2 linked regions of the Alligator mississippiensis genome follow. The protein of the gene in region 1 binds, or shares a complex with, the protein of each later gene. Links are inferred from orthologs where the notes say so. Each region holds a gene or a part of one and is shown in the gene's direction. Other genes may lie near its edges.

Evidence for each region.
Region 2: the proteins of GLI1 (region 1) and SUFU are in contact, whole or in part, in a crystal structure (PDB 4KMD), measured with the Homo sapiens proteins. The link is inferred for Alligator mississippiensis from reciprocal best matches to the Homo sapiens genes GLI1 and SUFU. Residues at the interface, in NP_005260.1 of Homo sapiens: Gly119, Ser120, Tyr121, Gly122, His123, Leu124, Ser125, Ile126, Gly127; in NP_057253.2 of Homo sapiens: Leu144, Tyr147, Asn153, Thr154, Phe155, Gly158, Asp159, His160, Val161, Ser162, Trp163, His164, Gln212, Asn265, Leu266, Ser267, Gly268, Val269, Ser270, Ala271, Glu376, Leu380, Lys398.

The regions. Positions count from the first base shown.
Region 1 is NC_081838.1:7,325,300-7,332,978, forward strand, and holds the start of GLI1 (zinc finger protein GLI1), read left to right. Parts: upstream 1-4,610; 5' UTR 4,611-5,327; intron 5,328-7,679. UniProt on the Homo sapiens protein: Acts as a transcriptional activator. Binds to the DNA consensus sequence 5'-GACCACCCA-3'. Regulates the transcription of specific genes during normal development.
Region 2 is NC_081829.1:99,404,423-99,412,598, reverse strand, and holds the start of SUFU (suppressor of fused homolog), read left to right. Parts: upstream 1-5,113; 5' UTR 5,114-5,165; coding exon 5,166-5,299; intron 5,300-8,176. Other genes in the region: ACTR1A (alpha-centractin), read right to left, coding at 2,794-2,841. UniProt on the Homo sapiens protein: Negative regulator in the hedgehog/smoothened signaling pathway. Down-regulates GLI1-mediated transactivation of target genes. Down-regulates GLI2-mediated transactivation of target genes. Part of a corepressor complex that acts on DNA-bound GLI1.

The DNA.
Region 1 (7,679 bases):
CCCCCCCCCCCCCCGGAGGCCGGGGCTGGCTGCCAAGTGGGGCAGAGGTCATGGTATGTGGGCCCAGCATTGGCGGGACTAGAGGGCATCAGTTTCCGGGACTAGTGGGGCCAGAGCTGGGTTGGGGGCCAGCAGGGGAGTGGGCAGGGGTTGCGGAAACCCAGCTGTGGCCTGGCTGGTGCTGTCCCTGCAGCCCAGGAACGTTACTGCTGTGGCATCGCTGGTCAAAAGGGGGCTTTACTGTGCCACAGGGGCCAGGGCAGCACTGGGCACAGGCCTGGCCCAACCTTTCATTTGGTCTCCTGGTGTTGGGGGTGGGGGGGACAGGGCAGGGTTAATTTATTTTATTACATGGAGCTAATAAAGATGTGGAAGCGTCTAACGAGGCCTCGGGTCTGTGCGTGCATATGTTTACGTAAACAGGATCGGGTCCGCTGCAGTGAGATGGGCTGATGCCCTGCACCGGTGCCCCTCATTCCTGACCTGCAGCCCCCAGTCCCCCTGGTGCACCCTACTCTCGACCTGCAGCCCCCAGCCCTGCTGGTACCCCTCACTCCCAACCTGCAGCCCCCTGCCAGCCTGGCCCAAGGCCTCTAGCCCTCTGCTCAGGGTCCCTGGGGTGCCTGGTGTGGGGCTCTGGTCCCTCCTGCTCTGCCCTGGCGCCGTTGGGGGTCTGTTGTGCAAGCACCAACTCAAAGCGTTATCTGGGGCCGAGGCCTGGCCACTCTCACGGCCCCAGCCCGGTCGTGGGGGGCAAAGGGCGGCTTTCATCAGCCCCTGCCGGCATGCAGGGACCACACTGCAGCTCCTGCCCGCTCCTACCCCTCCCACCCCTTCTGGGAACAGCCCAGCGGGACCCGCACCATGCACCTGCTCGGGCAGAGTGAAAATTCCCTTCACACCCGGCCCGCAGCCCCTATCCCCCAGCCCTGCTGGTCCCCCTCACTCCTGACCTGCAGCCCCCAGCCCCACCAGTGCCCCTCGCTCCGGACCCAAAGCCCCCTGTCCTGCTGCCCCCTAGCGATGCCAGGCAGGGGGCTGGGTGGCAGTGTGTGGCACAGTGACTCAGTGACATGATGACACACTAACCCCAAACCCTGGGGGTGGGGGGGCACTAAGACATTAATCTCCCCCTGAGCTGCTTGGGCTTTCTTAGTGCAGGAGCTCAGGATTAGGGGTAGGAGGGGGGCGGGGGGGGCAGTATCCGTCCATCCGTTCATCCCTCCCTTATCCAGTCTGTCCAGTCCCCCCCACTCACGGTGTCCTGCCCCAGCCCACTTGGGTGCAGAGTTTGACCAGGGGAGTGGGGGGTTGAGGGTCTTGGTCCCCAGGGTGGGGGTCCTGGCCACCCGGCCCCAGCTCAGGCCAAAACCGGGCTAAGCTGCTTAGGACAGTTACAACACATGCCCGCAGTTGCTGCCTGGGCCCGATCCTGTGAGGCAGGGGCTGCGGGGGGCACAGACCCAGCCCTCCCCAGCCCCACCTATGTGGGGGGCTCCAGCAGCCCCAAGGGACACTGCAGGGCTGGGCATGGGGATCCCTGCCCTGTGGAGCCCCCCCTGGCTGGACAGGTGCATGCCAGGAGGGGAAACTGAGGCACTGAGCAGGGCTGGCTGCAGAACCAAGACATCCAGGAGGGTGTCAGGAGGTGATGAGGCTGCAGGCGAAAGCCCCAGCCCAGCGTGATCCAGTTAAGAAGTTTGGAGATCAGGCCAGGCCAGGTCCATGTGCCCCCCCCAAACCTTCCCTGCTCTCCCCCAGACCAGGGTTTTTCTGGAGATGTCCCCTAATGCCACCCCCAAAACTAGGTTGCCAAAGGGAGCCCTGGATTGCAGGGGCAGGGGGCTGCAGGTCGGGAGTGAGGGGCACCAGCATGGCTGGGGGCACTGGGTCCCTGGTGTGCAGCTGCTGCCCAGCCCGTGCCCCCCCAGCACGTGCCCTTCGCCCTGGCGCCTCGTGCCAGCAGGGCGTGATGTCATCTGTGGCCGCGGCAAGCAAAGGCCACAGGCCCCGAAATAGCAGCACGGCCCCGGGGGCCCTTTCCCCTGCATTCAGTCACCATGGCAACTGTCCAGCGGGGCATGGGGGGGCACGGGGGGGGCAGCCTTGAGGGTGAAAATAAACACAGAGTAACCGGGCAGCGCCCAGCTGAGCTTTACCCCATTGCAAAGTTCCCAGGACACCTGGGTCCCGTGGCCACCTCTGTACTGGAAGGGGATAGGGGGGGGTTGCAGGACTGGCCTGGATGCCTGGGTCCCCCGCCCAGGCATGGAGTGGGGGTGTGCATGGCAGGGGCTGGGACATGTGGTTCCCCTTTTGGGGGTGGTCCCAGGTCAGCCCAGGCTCCCCGGAGGCCACCCCAGGTGGGTGACTGCTCCCTGCCTCAGTTTCCCCTTGGCCTCTTGTGGCAGTGTCAGGTCCCCCAGGGCTGAGGAGAAACGGCCTGGGGGCAGGGGGGCAAAGGGCCTGTTTGGGGGGTGGGAACGAACCGTCCCGCATGGGGGGGGCCCGGAGTCGCAATTCCCAGCCCATGTTGCCACAGCCCCGCTGTTTGCTTACCCTTTACCCCCCGTGCCCGCGACGTGGCGCTGGACTTGGGCTCCTGCCACGCTCCACAGCCCCCCAGGCTGGCGCCCAGGGGGGCCATGGGCATCCCTGCCCAGCCCCCTCTCCCCCCCCATCCTGGGGCTGCCGGCTCACTGGAAAACTCCCCGGGGGTGGGGGGAGCCACGTGAATGCTATGCCACGGCTGAAGGACGTGGGGGGAGCTGGACAGAACAGCTGGGGGGGTGATCATCAGGGCACTGCCAGGGGGGTCGAGGGCAGCCCAGGTCCCCCCATTACAGCCTCTCGGTGCCAGCTGAAGTGGGGGTCTGCACAGCCCTGGCATTGCCCCAGCCCCGACGGGACCTACACATCCGGGCGCCTGTGCGAGACGAGTCCTGGGAAGGCAGAGGTGACCCCCATTAATTGGGGCAGCTGCAATTAATGATGCTTAAAGAAGCTTCCCGGGGCGAGGGGGATCCCCTGTGTGAAGCCCCCTCCTCAGGCCTGGGGACCAGCAGGGTCAGGGGTCAGGGGCCTAGCATGGCCAGCCCAGGGTGCCCCCCCCATGATGCCCAGGCTGTGGGGGCCCAGAGGAGGAAACTGAGGCACGGAGCAGGGACTAAGCCCAGAAGCTCTGGGCTCGGGGATCGAACCCAGTCATCCTGGGTGGACAGACAAGGGGGGGAGGGACTGGGCAGGCAGCTGTGGTGCCCGCTGAGTCCAGCAGAGGGCAGCAGGCATTGCGTCTGGACCGCCCCCTGGGTGATGTCATGCTGTGATGTCATGCAGGGCAGTGATGTCATGCCAGAAGCTGACAGGTTGGCCTGGGCAGAGCCAGCCACAGGCCTGGGGCATCCCCCACCGGGGCAGCTGGGTACCAAGGGGGCAAGTGGGAGCCCTCAGGGGATGCCCTGGGGGTGCCCTGCGCACCTGGAGCTGGGGAGAGACCCCGGGAATCCCGGCCCTGCCCCCTCTCCTTGCAGGGCCCAGGGGTGGGGGGCACCCAGGAGCGCAGTCTCCGCACTCAGTGCCCGCCTTGCCCCCTGCGACTGCGTCATGGGGGGGCAGAACTTTGAGGAATCCCCTCATTGGCTGCTGGCCCCTCTGTCATGTCACAGCCTGTGTTGTGATGTCATGAGCCAGGGGTTGAGAGTGGGGGCAGGGGCAGGGGGACTGGGGAGAGCAGAGGTGGGGCTACTGGTCAGACTGGAGAGAGGGGCTGGGAGCCGGGACACCTGGGTTCAGTGCTCAGCGGGGGAGGGGGGTTGAGTGGTTAGCGAAGGGGCGGGGCTAAGACGGGACACCTGGGTTCAGTCCCTGCCCTTGGGAGCGCGGGTTTGGGGGTCTGCAGTGGAGTTAAGTGGTTAGAGCCGGGGGCGGGGTGCTGGGAGCCTGGATGCTGGGTCCCCCCTCCTGGCTGTCCTACCCATGTCCCCACGCCACAAATGCCACCCCCCCCATCCGAAACCTGTCTCCATGACAACAGGGGTATCTCAGCTCTCACTGTTGGGGGGCAGACGTGCAGAGGGTGAGCCCCCGGGGCGGGGCGGCTGCAGGACCCTCAGTGTTACGGGGGTCGGGAGGGTATTGATGGCCGTATGACCTCATTGCAGCAAGGCCTGACATCACTGCCGTGCCCCGTGAGGTCACGGCAGCCGGTGAAGTTGCCTCCTGGCCAGGTAAGCCCCAAGCTGCCGGGTCCCAGCCTGGCACGGGGCCATGGCCCGCAGGATGGCCCGTGCTCCGCGTGTGCGGGCATGTTGCATGCATGTGCGGCCCCCAAGCCTAGGACATGGCGGGGGGGCACCTGTGTCCCTCGCTCCCTATCCCCCAAACCCCTCCTGCATTGGGAGGCCCCGATCCTGGCACCTCCAGAGTGGGGCAGGGGTTCATTCCCTGCCCAGCCCCAGCCCCAGCCCAAAGCACCCTGCAGCCGGTCCATCCAGGCCAGGCGTTGCTTCCCGGGGCTGGGCGGGCATGCACACGCGTGTGCCCCACAGGCGTGGGCGTGGGCGTGGAGATCCAGCCCAGGTTTTCCCAGCACTGCGGCCGGCATGGTGCGTGCCTCCAATTTCAGGGGCTCCCTTCGCCCGCTTCCCCCCGGCCCCCAGAGACCTCGCAGCTGAGCAAGCGGCAAGGGGGGCAAGGGGAAAAAGAGAGGGGCGGAGGGGGGGTGGTGGACGACGAAGCCCCCCCCCCCCCAACCCACCCCCATACCGGCTTGAGCAGAGCCCAGAAAGAGCGGGCGAAGTTTTGTCCCCCCTCCTGCCCCAGCCCCGGCTTCAAAGCGCCAGAGCAGGGCCCGGAGCCGCTCTCCCGGGTGGAAAAGCATCGGGAAAGGGTTTTTTTTTCTCTCTCTCTCTCTTGAAAGAAAAACAAAACTTCCTTCTCCGAGGTGGTCCGGGGCGGCCGCGGGGAAGGAATATTTATAACCGGGGCCGCGGCGTGGCGACGAGGCGCCCGGAGTTCCCGGCTCCCTCTTCGTCCCCCCCCCAGGACTTTCTCCTGCTGGATTTCCAGGGGGGGGAGAGGAAAAAAAAAAATCTTCATCTGATTCATCATCTTCGTCCGAAGATTTGGGTTTGGAGGAGATTTGGGTTTGGGAGCCGGGAGGCCACAGCGACCGGTGGCTCTCGGGGGGGGTGCTCCCCCCCTGCCCCCCGTCTCTTTGCAAGGCTTTTCCCTGGATGTTCAGCGCTGGGGGAGACCCTCGTGGCCCCCGAAGAGTGGAGTTACCCCCAGGGTCGAGGAAGGGCTCAGACCGGCCCCGGCGCTTGGAGGTACGAGCTTGGCTTGGCTGCTGCGTCTTTGCAGGGGAAAGTTTCAGGGGGTGCATAGGGGTCCTGTCCCTCCCCCCGGGTCTTCTGTTTCAGTGGGGGCCGCAAGACCCTGTCCCCAGGAAGCAGGAGAGGAGCGAGGGTCCCCATGGCTGTGCCCGGGTGCCTGGCGGGACGGCGGCTGGGGGATGCCTGGTCTGTGGGCACTGTGGTGACAGGCGTGCAGGGGCGAGGGGGGGCCAGAGTTTGGAAAGTCCTCGCCGGAGCTGGCCCGGAGGCCGCGTCTCGGCTCCAGGCTCCTGGGTGGGCCGAGGGGGGAAAGAGGGGGGTGATGCCGAGGGTTTGGAGAGTGACACTTGCTTCGCGGGGGCCACGAGCCCTCTTGGGGAGCTGGAGGCTCCCCCTGCCCGGCTCTCCTGCCCCAGGGGGGGCGAAAGGGGAGACCCCCCTCTCTGGGAAGAGCCCAGGAACCCTCCCCCCTCGGCCTGGAAAAGTCATCAGCTCCCTGGAGCCACGACACTGGGAGCCCCATGGCAGGGGGGGCACTGACCCTGTGTGCAGCCACCTGGGAGGGCCCCGTGTGTTTGCTGCGGCTTGGAAGGACCCCCCACACCCCTGCACACACACGTGCGCACACACGGGACTGCTCACATACATGCGATGTGCACACACGCTCATGTACAAGCTCACATGCCTGTGTGTGTGGGCACATGGCCCCTGCACACAGGCACACATGTGTCTGTGTGTACACACATCTCTGCAGATGTGCACGGGTGTATGGGCATGCACCCCCTGCACACACGCGCACACATGCATGTGTATGTGTGCACACATCCTTACATGCCCACCCCTGCACATGCACACACAGGTATTTGTGTGCACACGGCCCTGCTTGCAGACACATGCATGTGGATGTGTGTGCACATGCATATGTATGTGCGTGCAGACCCCTGCACACATGTGCATGTGTGTGGGCACACATCTCTGCATGCAGGCCCTCACAGCTCTGTGTACACACTGCACGCACGCACGCATGCACATGCATGTAGACACGTACACAGACCCCTGCACACACACATCTGTATGTGCAGATACACCTATGTGTATGTATATACAGACCCCTGCAAGCGCACACATGTGTGGGCACACATTCCTGCAGTCAGGCATGCACATCTCTATGTGCACACACTGCATGCGCGTGCGCACACATGTAGATGTGTACACAGATCCCTACACATACACACACACACACACACACACACACACACACACACACACATCTGTATGTACACGCACACACACATGTAGATGTGCGCACAGACCCCTGCACTTCCCCGCCAGGAGCTGAGTCTGCCGGTCCGTGCCCGCCCTGCTGCCTGGGGAGGGGGGGAGCTGCTGGGATGTTACTGGGGGACCGGGCCTGGGCGGGGGGTTCGGTGCTGGGGGGGCTGCAAGGGGACCCTGCCCCGCGCCCGGAGATGCTGCTGGAACTGGGACCAGCAGAGCATCTGTCCTGGGAGCTGACGGGTTCAGTGATGCCTGGGGTCAGGCCTGCTCTCTCCATCCCTCCGCCTGGCCCAGGACACTGCCAGGACACCTAACCCTAACCCTAACCCTCCCCCCGTGGTGCCCACTGCCTGGCTTCTCTGGCCCCCCTGCCCCCCGCCTGGCACTGCGTCCCATTGGGGTGAGGCTGGGGATCTCATAGGCCCCAGGCGCTTCCCAGGCCCCATGACGCAGGCAGGGATCGTCCCGCCCTGCCCGGCCCCACGAGCCACGGCCGCACCCGGGCATCACCAGACCCCGCCCAGGATCGGGGCCTGCCCCCCCACTCCATGCTGGACCCCAGCCTGGAGGCTGGGGGCTTGTCGGGAAGGCTGTGGCGCTGAGTCCAATCCCCTGGGTCCCGGCTGGGTGCCCCTCACCCTGGCATTGGCCTTGGACTCTAGGCCTTGCCAATGCTGGGGGGGCTTCCCCTTGCCTCCCACAACTGAGCTGGGAGCCCTGGGTCCAGCACCACGGAGGATCGTTCCCCTCGTCATCCTAACCAGCTGCTCGGGAGCCCCAGAGCTGCCTGGCGCCAGGCAGGGGGGGGCCCTGCCCCAGAACCGGGCACCGCCCGCTTTAATTAATTAGCTAATTGGCTCCACTCAGCCCTGCTAATTGGGCTGCCCCAGGGAGGTGGCTCTTGCTGCTTTGGGTCCCGAGGCGGCTTGGGGGAATCTGGGGGGCTCGTGGTCCTGGCTGGGGGGACTCTTTGTGGGGGCTTGAGGGTGATTTCAAGGCCCGCAGAGGAGTGGGAGGCTGGAAGCCCAGACTCCTGGGTTCAGCACCCACTCCCATGGACTGCCCTGG
Region 2 (8,176 bases), on another chromosome or scaffold:
GCAGGTGGGGACAACCACAGAGGTCAGTGAATTTGCACCAACTTAGCCCAGTGGGTCTGACCCGCATCCTCGGTTTGGCTTTATGTTCTCCATGGCCCAACCCATCAACTTCAGCCAGGGCTCCCACCGGATGCCCGTTTTGCCAGGAAGATGCTGCACCCAATAGGTAAAACTCATTTTGGAAAGACTGGGTGCTCCTTGCTGAAGACCTGAGGCTGACAGCACAGCTTGCTAACAGAGAACGCATCAGCAAGAGATGTTAGCAGCATTGCTCGCTACTTCCTGGCAGTGCTCGGATACTAGAATCAGACTGGAAGCAAAGCCGCTCTGTACCCCCTGCTTTATTTTCCTCCCTTTGTAAAGCTGGGTTAACGCCCACCGTCGTAAAGCGCTTTGTAATGGAGAAAAGGCACCGAGGAGGAGTGCAGAGCAGCAGTCCATCCTCTGCACTGCTTCCACGTTCTCCCTCGCCTAGCTCATGGACAGCGCTGAAACTGCAACGTCACGCCAGGCTCCGAGCTGGGAGCCATGCCAGGAAAGGACGCTGGTCCCACAACGTAACCGGAGCAAAGATTTCTTTCATTTGCAGGGGATAAAAATTCCCCACGTAACGTGCCCAGGATAGAGCAGAATCGGACCTGGATAGCTGCTAATGTGTCCCTTCATCCTTTGCCCCTCACCGTGGCATCGCACTGCCTGCACCACGCTGACTGACGACACGTCCTCTGGGGCCTTTCACCCTTGAACTAGCAATGGTTTTACCCCGGTGGGGAAAAGCTTCGCTATCCTCTTTTTACTGAGGACAGTTCAAAGCACAGAGAGGACAAGCAACTTGCTCAAACTCATCACAGTGCATAAAAGAGTGAGGAAAAAAGGAACCAATCTGTTAAATCTGGATTTGCTTTCAAAGACTGTGGTGTGTAGCACTGGGAACCCTGCTCTGATTACTGGACGGCATCGCTGCCCTGATCTCCGAGAGAAACACCAAGCGGAGGAGCAAACGCCAACGCTGCATCTCCGGCAGGACCCGCAGCAGGTTTTCTGAGACGTGCAAAACAAGGAGCGAGGCCGGGAGGTATGTGAGAAACGCGGTCTGCCTTGAGGACGGCCGGGCGAGCCATCCCACGTGCTGCTTGCCACTCCTGCAACCCTTTGCCCAAGGCGAGGCAGAAAGATGAGAGCACGGGCACGGCCCAATCTGGGACAGCAAGATGCGCTCGGGGCGTTGGCACGGGAGAGCCGAAGGGAGGAGACGGAGAGCGTGACTCACTGGGCTCAACCTGCTGCCCTTCCACCCCCTCCTGCTCTGGCCCGTCCCTGAATAGCGCCGTTTGTTGGGAGGCCTCGGCATCAGGGCTCGCCCAGGCCCCGGGGGACGGGCCCCCGGAGGCCACCGCCGCCCTGCCCACATGATGCTGACACGGCACCAAGGAGGGGATCAAAGAGAAGCCTCCTGTGCCGGGACCAGGCCCTGTCAGCGGGGATGGAGCAGTGCATTCTGGGAGCAGTCAATCCCAGCAGCTGCTCCTCCCACTCACTTGGAGATAGAGCTCCTCGTGGGAGCAGCCACCCCAGAGCACAACACAGAGCAGTGCATGCTGGGAGCAGCCACCCCAGTGAGAGCACAACACAGAGCAGTGCATGCTGGGAGCAGCCACCCCAGTGAGAGCACAACAGAGCAGTGCATGCTGGGAGCAGCCACCCCAGTGAGAGCACAACAGAGCAGTGCATGCTGGGAGCAGCCACCCCAGTGAGAGCACAGAGCAGTGCATGCTGGGAGGGGCCCCCAGGCCAGCACAACAGAGCAGTGCATGCTGGGAGCAGCCACCCCAGAGCACAACACAGAGCGGTGCATGCTGGGAGCAGCCACCCCAGTGAGAGCACAACAGAGCAGTGCATGCTGGGAGCAGCCACCCCAGAGCAAAACACAGAGCAGCGCATGCTGGGAGTGTCTCCCCCCCCCAGGACAGCACAACAGAGAAATGCATGCTGGGAGCTGCCACCCCGGAGCACAACACAGAGCAGTGCATGCTGGGAGTGTCTCCCCCCCCCCCAGGACAGCACAACAGAGAAGTGCATGCTGGGAGCTGCCACCCCACAACACAGAGCAGTGCATGCTGGGAGGGCACAAGGAGCAGTGAATGCTGGGAGGGGCCACCCCAGTGAAAGCACAACAGAGCACTGCATGCTGGGAGTGTCCCCCCCAAGACCAGACAACAGAGCAGTGCATGCTGGGAGGGGCCACCTCAAGGACAGCACAAGGAGCAGTGCATGAGGGGCCACACCAGAGAACACGGAGCAATGCATGCTGGGAGGGCTCAAGCAGCAGTGCATGCTGGGAGGGGCCCCACGGCCCAGCGCCCATTGTCCCAAGGCAGCCAACGGGCGGGGCAGCTCACCCCGAAGCCTGGACAATGACTGACAGCCCTCACGACCAATTAGCGCAGGGGCTCTCCCCGGGGGGGCGGGACTCCCCGCCTCAAACAGGGGAGAAGGGCGCTGAGGGCGACTGACAGACGGGACAGCCAATCGGAGGCCATCAAAACACACCCCACCCCGAAGCCGAGGACCCGTTTCGCCAGCATGTTCAGTTGCGCCCTCAGGCGGAGATTGGCAAGCGCGGGAGCCAATCAGGAAGCAGAACGAGCGGCCCGTGGGCGCCAAGCTCGGTTGACGCGTCTCTGTGGCCGGCGCCGGGGGGGGGGCGGGGCGGGGACCGCGATGACAAAGGGCGGCGATGCCCGCGCTCCCCCCCCGCCCCGCCCCGCAGGGGCCGGCGGGCCCCGCACTCACGTTGTCGATCACGACGGGCTGGTTCGCGATCACGTCGTAGGACTCCATGGCCAGCACCCGCCGCACACACCAGCCGGGGAGCCACAGCCCGGGCCGCGGGGCGCATGCGCGAGGGACGCGGCAGCGCGCGAAGCAGCCTGGGAGCTGTCTTCTTGAGGTAGGCGCGGGTTATGCTGGGAAATGTAGTCTTAGGGATCGCAGAGCATGCTGGGAGCCGTCTTCATGAGGCGGAGGGCGTGGAGCATGCTGGGAAATGTAGTCGGGGCGCGGGTCATGCTGGGAGCTGTCTTCGGGTAGGGAGGCGGGGCGTGCTGGGTAATGTAGTTCTTGAGGGAATTGCGGGGCATGCTGGGAGCTCTTCATAGGCAGAGTGCGCGGGGCATGCTGGGAAATGTCGTTCTCTGTGCATGTGGAGCTGTGAGCATGCCGGGAGTTGTAGTCCGGGGGGCGGTGCATCTTGGGACAGGTAGTCCCTTGAAGGAGGCTCTTGGCCACAGCAGGCCTCGGGCGGCTTCAGAAGAGGGTGGGTGACAATGCTCTGCCAGGCTGCGAACTAGGCGCCTCGTGCCCAGGAGCAGCGAGGGGCAGAAGAAAGGTGGCCCAGCCCGATGGGCACGACGTCGAGCCTCTTAAAAGGCAGAGCAGGTCATTGACAGCCGCGCAACCAAGAGTCAGCAAGGGAGCCGCAAGGACTATAAGGAGCCCCGAGGCCAATGGCATCCCTCGGCGCTGCCTGACTAGAAACGCCGCTGCCGGGGCCAGGCCTTTGGTTTTAAACTTGATGGGTCCTCAGGTGACTGAAGAGCCCGATTCCAGACACGCGTGGTCTTTGGGTTGGTCTCTTCCTTCCACCGCCGCCGCCGCCGCCGCACCGTCGTCCTGCCTCAACATCGAGTCGTTGGGCCTCGAAGTGGCGCGCGCCTTGGCACCCTGGAAAGGACCTCACGAGCCCCCCGGGGCGCTGCTCACCCCGATTGCGACTCACTGGAATGGAGAGATGATAAAATACGCTGTCTCCTTCCCTGCTCCAACCACACGCTGTTTGATGACTGCTGCCCAGCAGCGTTTAGGCTGAACGAAGCACCCTGGGCTTTTTTACAACCCAACAACACGTGCGCGGAGTATTTTAGCACCCGTTCATTCAGACATTGAGCCTCACCTTTAAATTGAATCCTGGGCAGATACTCTGAATATTGACCTCAGCTAATTTTATTGATTTTTATATCCTTCTCACTCGTTACGATCCATCGTTAGCGGGCCGAACAGCACGGGAGGTGTCATGTTAGCCCAGATAAATCACCAGAGAGACGTATGTGTGCCTTAAACCAACCCAAGTATTTGCTAAGGGATTCTGTTTCTAATATTTACCTTCTCCGGTTACCGCAGTCGACTTTTCTCAGGTGGGGAAACCGTTATTGGTATCACCGTACTAGGACAGGTGAAACATTGCGTATTGTTTGAGCCAGTACTTCATTCAAGTATAAATTGCTCGCCTCTTAGCAACTCTTATTCGTTTGTTTGCCCACCTTTCAGTCTCTGGCTGCAGGTGAACTCCCCGAAACCTATTTTGTGTACATTGACGTTTGGGCAAATATTCTTCACCTGCGCACATGGAAAACCCAGGGAGCAGGAACACCTTGCAGCTCAATTTGCTGCTTTAGCTATAATCCCACGTCCTGATCTTGGCAAGATTTATGGAGGCATTCGCAGCGTGCAAACTTTTACAGGTGCACGAGACTTTGCAGGATTAGAGACGTGGCTACAATTTCTAGCACGGTCTGGCCCTTCCCTGGAAGAAAGAAAGACAGAAAGAAAGGAGAGACGCAGTGCGGTTGTTGTCGCAATTGAGCCGTACACCCCGCTGTACAGAGCAACGACAGGAAATTCCCCAAAACTGGAAAACGTCGCATTTCTGCCGTCCTGCCTGCCAAAGTCTTACAGGCGTAGCAGTGCCCATGGACAACGGCTGGTTACGTGGACCCTTATCCTACACAAAACGCACGTGCGCGATTCGTTCTAGGAGCCGGAGTCAAAGGGGCCATTTAGGGGGCTAAATCCCGGCGGCTGTAAGAGGTCGAGGCTGTCACGCGCAGCATGAACCTCGCGCGTGTGCATGTGCACGTGCACGAGGCTGAGCCCCCCCTAGGCTCCAGGTTCATGGGTGGATAGGGCCGGGTGCAGCTGCCGGCGGCGGCCGCCAGGGGGCGCGCGAGCCTCGGGCGGCGGCAGGCGGCGGGGGCGGGGCCGGCGGGGGGAGGCCCCGCCCCATCCCCTCCAGGCGATTGGTGGAGCCGCGCGCTCGTCAGCAGGCCCCGCCCCACCCCGGCCGGAGCCGCCGCCGCCACCGGGCGCAGGTCGGGCCGGGCCGGGCCATGGAGGGCGCGCGGCCGCCGGCCGCCTTCCCCGCGCTCTTCCCGCCGGGCCTGCACGGCATCTACGGAGAGTGCCGCCGCCTCTACCCCGAGCAGCCCAACCCGCTGCAGGTCACCGCCATCCTCAAGTACTGGTGAGCGCGCGGGCCCGGGCCAGGGGGGCACGGGGCGGGGCATCCCGCGTGACGTCACGGGGGGGCGGGGCCCCGCGGGGGTGACGTCACGGCGAGGGGTCCTCATGGGGAGCTATACCCCAGTGCAGCTCTCACACTGGTGGAGCGCGCCCGGGACGTGACATCAGCTCGGCCGAGGAGATCTCGGCACGAGGGCTCGGGTGGAAAGACGGCGTGTCCGAACGGGTCTCGGGAAGACCACCGGGACCCCTAATCCGTATTTATTAGGGCGCGCCGATTCTGCGTTTCAAAGGGAGTCTCGCTTCCACCTGGCCGTGCAGGGCAGCGTGGCTTTCTGTGCGCGGTGCGGCGCGGCGCGGCGTGACCCGCCGACGTGGACGTTTGCAAAGGGGAAGATTTAGCTCCGGAGACTGGCTCTGTGCAACAGGTGCATCTCTCCCCGCTTGCACGTCTCTCGGGGCAGATCGGGAGCCTTTGGACACCTCCGCGCTGTCCGTGTGAGAGGGCGGCTGTGTTTTCTCCAGCATTTAGGTGTTTATTAAGAAGAGTGGCTAAATACACCGGAAGAGGGGTAAAGTTGCAAGGGGTAGAGCCCTATGGATGCACTCCTTCCTTTACGGTGCATTACGTGATACTATACGGTCCCTACGGGCACGTCTGCTGTCTCTGCAGAGCCCCAGAGCATCGTTAGCAGCTCCTGTTGCCCGCTCCCTCCTGCTTTGCTCTTGTCAGATCCCAAAAACAAGGCCTGGCAGCTGCCTTTAAGTGACCTCGAGCTCGTGGCGCTTAGCAAGGCCAAAGCGGGGGCTCGGGGCCCTTCGGAGGCAGCGTTGCCTCGTGGGCGGGTTTGGCACGCGAGTGGGCAAGGTGAAGCTGGTGGTGGTGCTCCCGTATGAACAGCTCGTGGCCGTGACGTGTGAAGAGATGAGGCCGAGCTGTCTTTCCATCAGCCCCCGGGCAGTCTCCGTGTTTTGCTGCATCTCGTGCTTTCAAGGCACTATAATGCAACGACCCGTTCTCTTGTGTTTCCAATGATATGCTAATAAATGAATCGTATTACTTCCGCTAATCGTTTTATGGCCCCTGGCTGGGCAGGTGTCTTTCTCCCTGGTATCAGACTTCCTAGGGTTTCCGTCAGTCATCAGAGAATTGCCTTTTGCAAATGCAAATCCAACTTTTTCCTCTGGCCGGTCTCATCAGCCCTTTGACGAGGGGCTGTTACATGCTGGTGCAGTTCTGGCTTTTCCAAAGGAAATCCCAAACGTTTCCATTCTTCTGAACCCGTTGTTCAAAGCGAGCGGGGGTGCTATATCTACATAAGTTGCAGCGCAGAGATGCGCGCAGCTACAAGATATGTAATTCAGTTCACTTACTTGCAGCTAGCGTGCGGACAATTGAAAACAGCAATTTAAAGGTTTGTGGGACAAGCGGATGACTCGGTGGACTGCGTAGAACAGAGAATTAACCAAGATGACTTAAGACAACTCCCTGCCTTGAAAAGGTTACGGTCAAAGGGCTGGCCTCCACTTCAGAGTTGTGGGTTGAGTTGATTTGCATTCAAATGCCTTGCGTCAAGCAAAATGTAGTAATGCTGATCTGGCCTCTCACTGCACATTATCAAACCCACTTTGGAAGCAGCCCATTCAGATGAAGGATGGGTTTTTTTTAACCTATTGCAAAGTACTTTTTGGTGCATCTGCATTTAACACTATTTTTGTGCATCTATGAGGATCCCATGCTGCTTTGGCTACCTGGGACACGTCTGCGTGCCCTCTGGGTTCATCTTGATCAGCTGTTCCCCTCCGCTGAAATGGCTCTGTGCACCCAGGTGCTGTTTTTTAGCACTTGCAGTTCATGGGAAGTTCACGTACTCTTCATTCCTTGTATTGAGATCCTGACCTGTTGTTGATCTCTCGGGAGAAGAGCCTTATTTTGCTCATGTGTTGAGCAAATGCTGAGCCAAGGGGCACAACAGAGTTTTCAGTGTCTCCGTAAGGAAGGATCTCTGGCTGGTCTGTAGGCATGCAATGAGCTGTGTGGCTGCACGGCCCGCTCTTACTACAAGGAGCTTGTCATTATCTTCCACCACCGAACTAGAGCTTGTTGTGAACCCCCGATGGATTCTCCACTGACGGTAGCGACTCTTCTGCCTAATGGGTGTTGGGTCTCGTGGTCACAGAAGTCCTGAGCAGCCTCCGATATAAAGCAGAGATGGAGGACAAACCAGGACCACAGATGGAGGTTGGTCCCTGTAAGTATTGAATTTTGTGTCATTGCTGTCATACTGTCTAACTCTTCTCCACCTTGGGGTCTTCTAACACGCGTCCCCAGTGCTCGTGCAAAGGATTTGGCTGGCGACTTTGCAAAATTCATAAAGATATTAAAACACAAACACCGCATAATTTAGGTTCCCACCCACATCCCCCATCATGTCTTTGTTTAACTTTCCTCCTCTGCTTCATTAGCTAAGCCCACCCCTCCACTCCAAAATGATAGCAGTCAGGAAAAATTACACTTTTTGAAGTGGTCTCCTTCGTTGTAGATGACTTTTTTTGTTTTCTTTCTTTTAGTGTAGCATCAGCAGCTTGAGGAAGAAGAGCAGAAGGACTCACGTGATGGAGAGACAGATTGCTTTGCTGAAGTGTGGTGTCTTCAAAGTGCGCCCAGTGCTGTTACTACTCAATAAAACGCTTTTAAAGCGAGCAGTTCCTGTTGATGTATTATTGTATACATTATAAAAAAATGAATTGGGGGCTTGGCCCCTCCTTTCAGTTGTGAAGTTGTACTATCTTTATATCCAATAGGGCTCAATACCTTAATAGAAAGAAGCATATCAATTGGGAAATCATAAACTGAATGTAAAGAGCATTAAAGTAG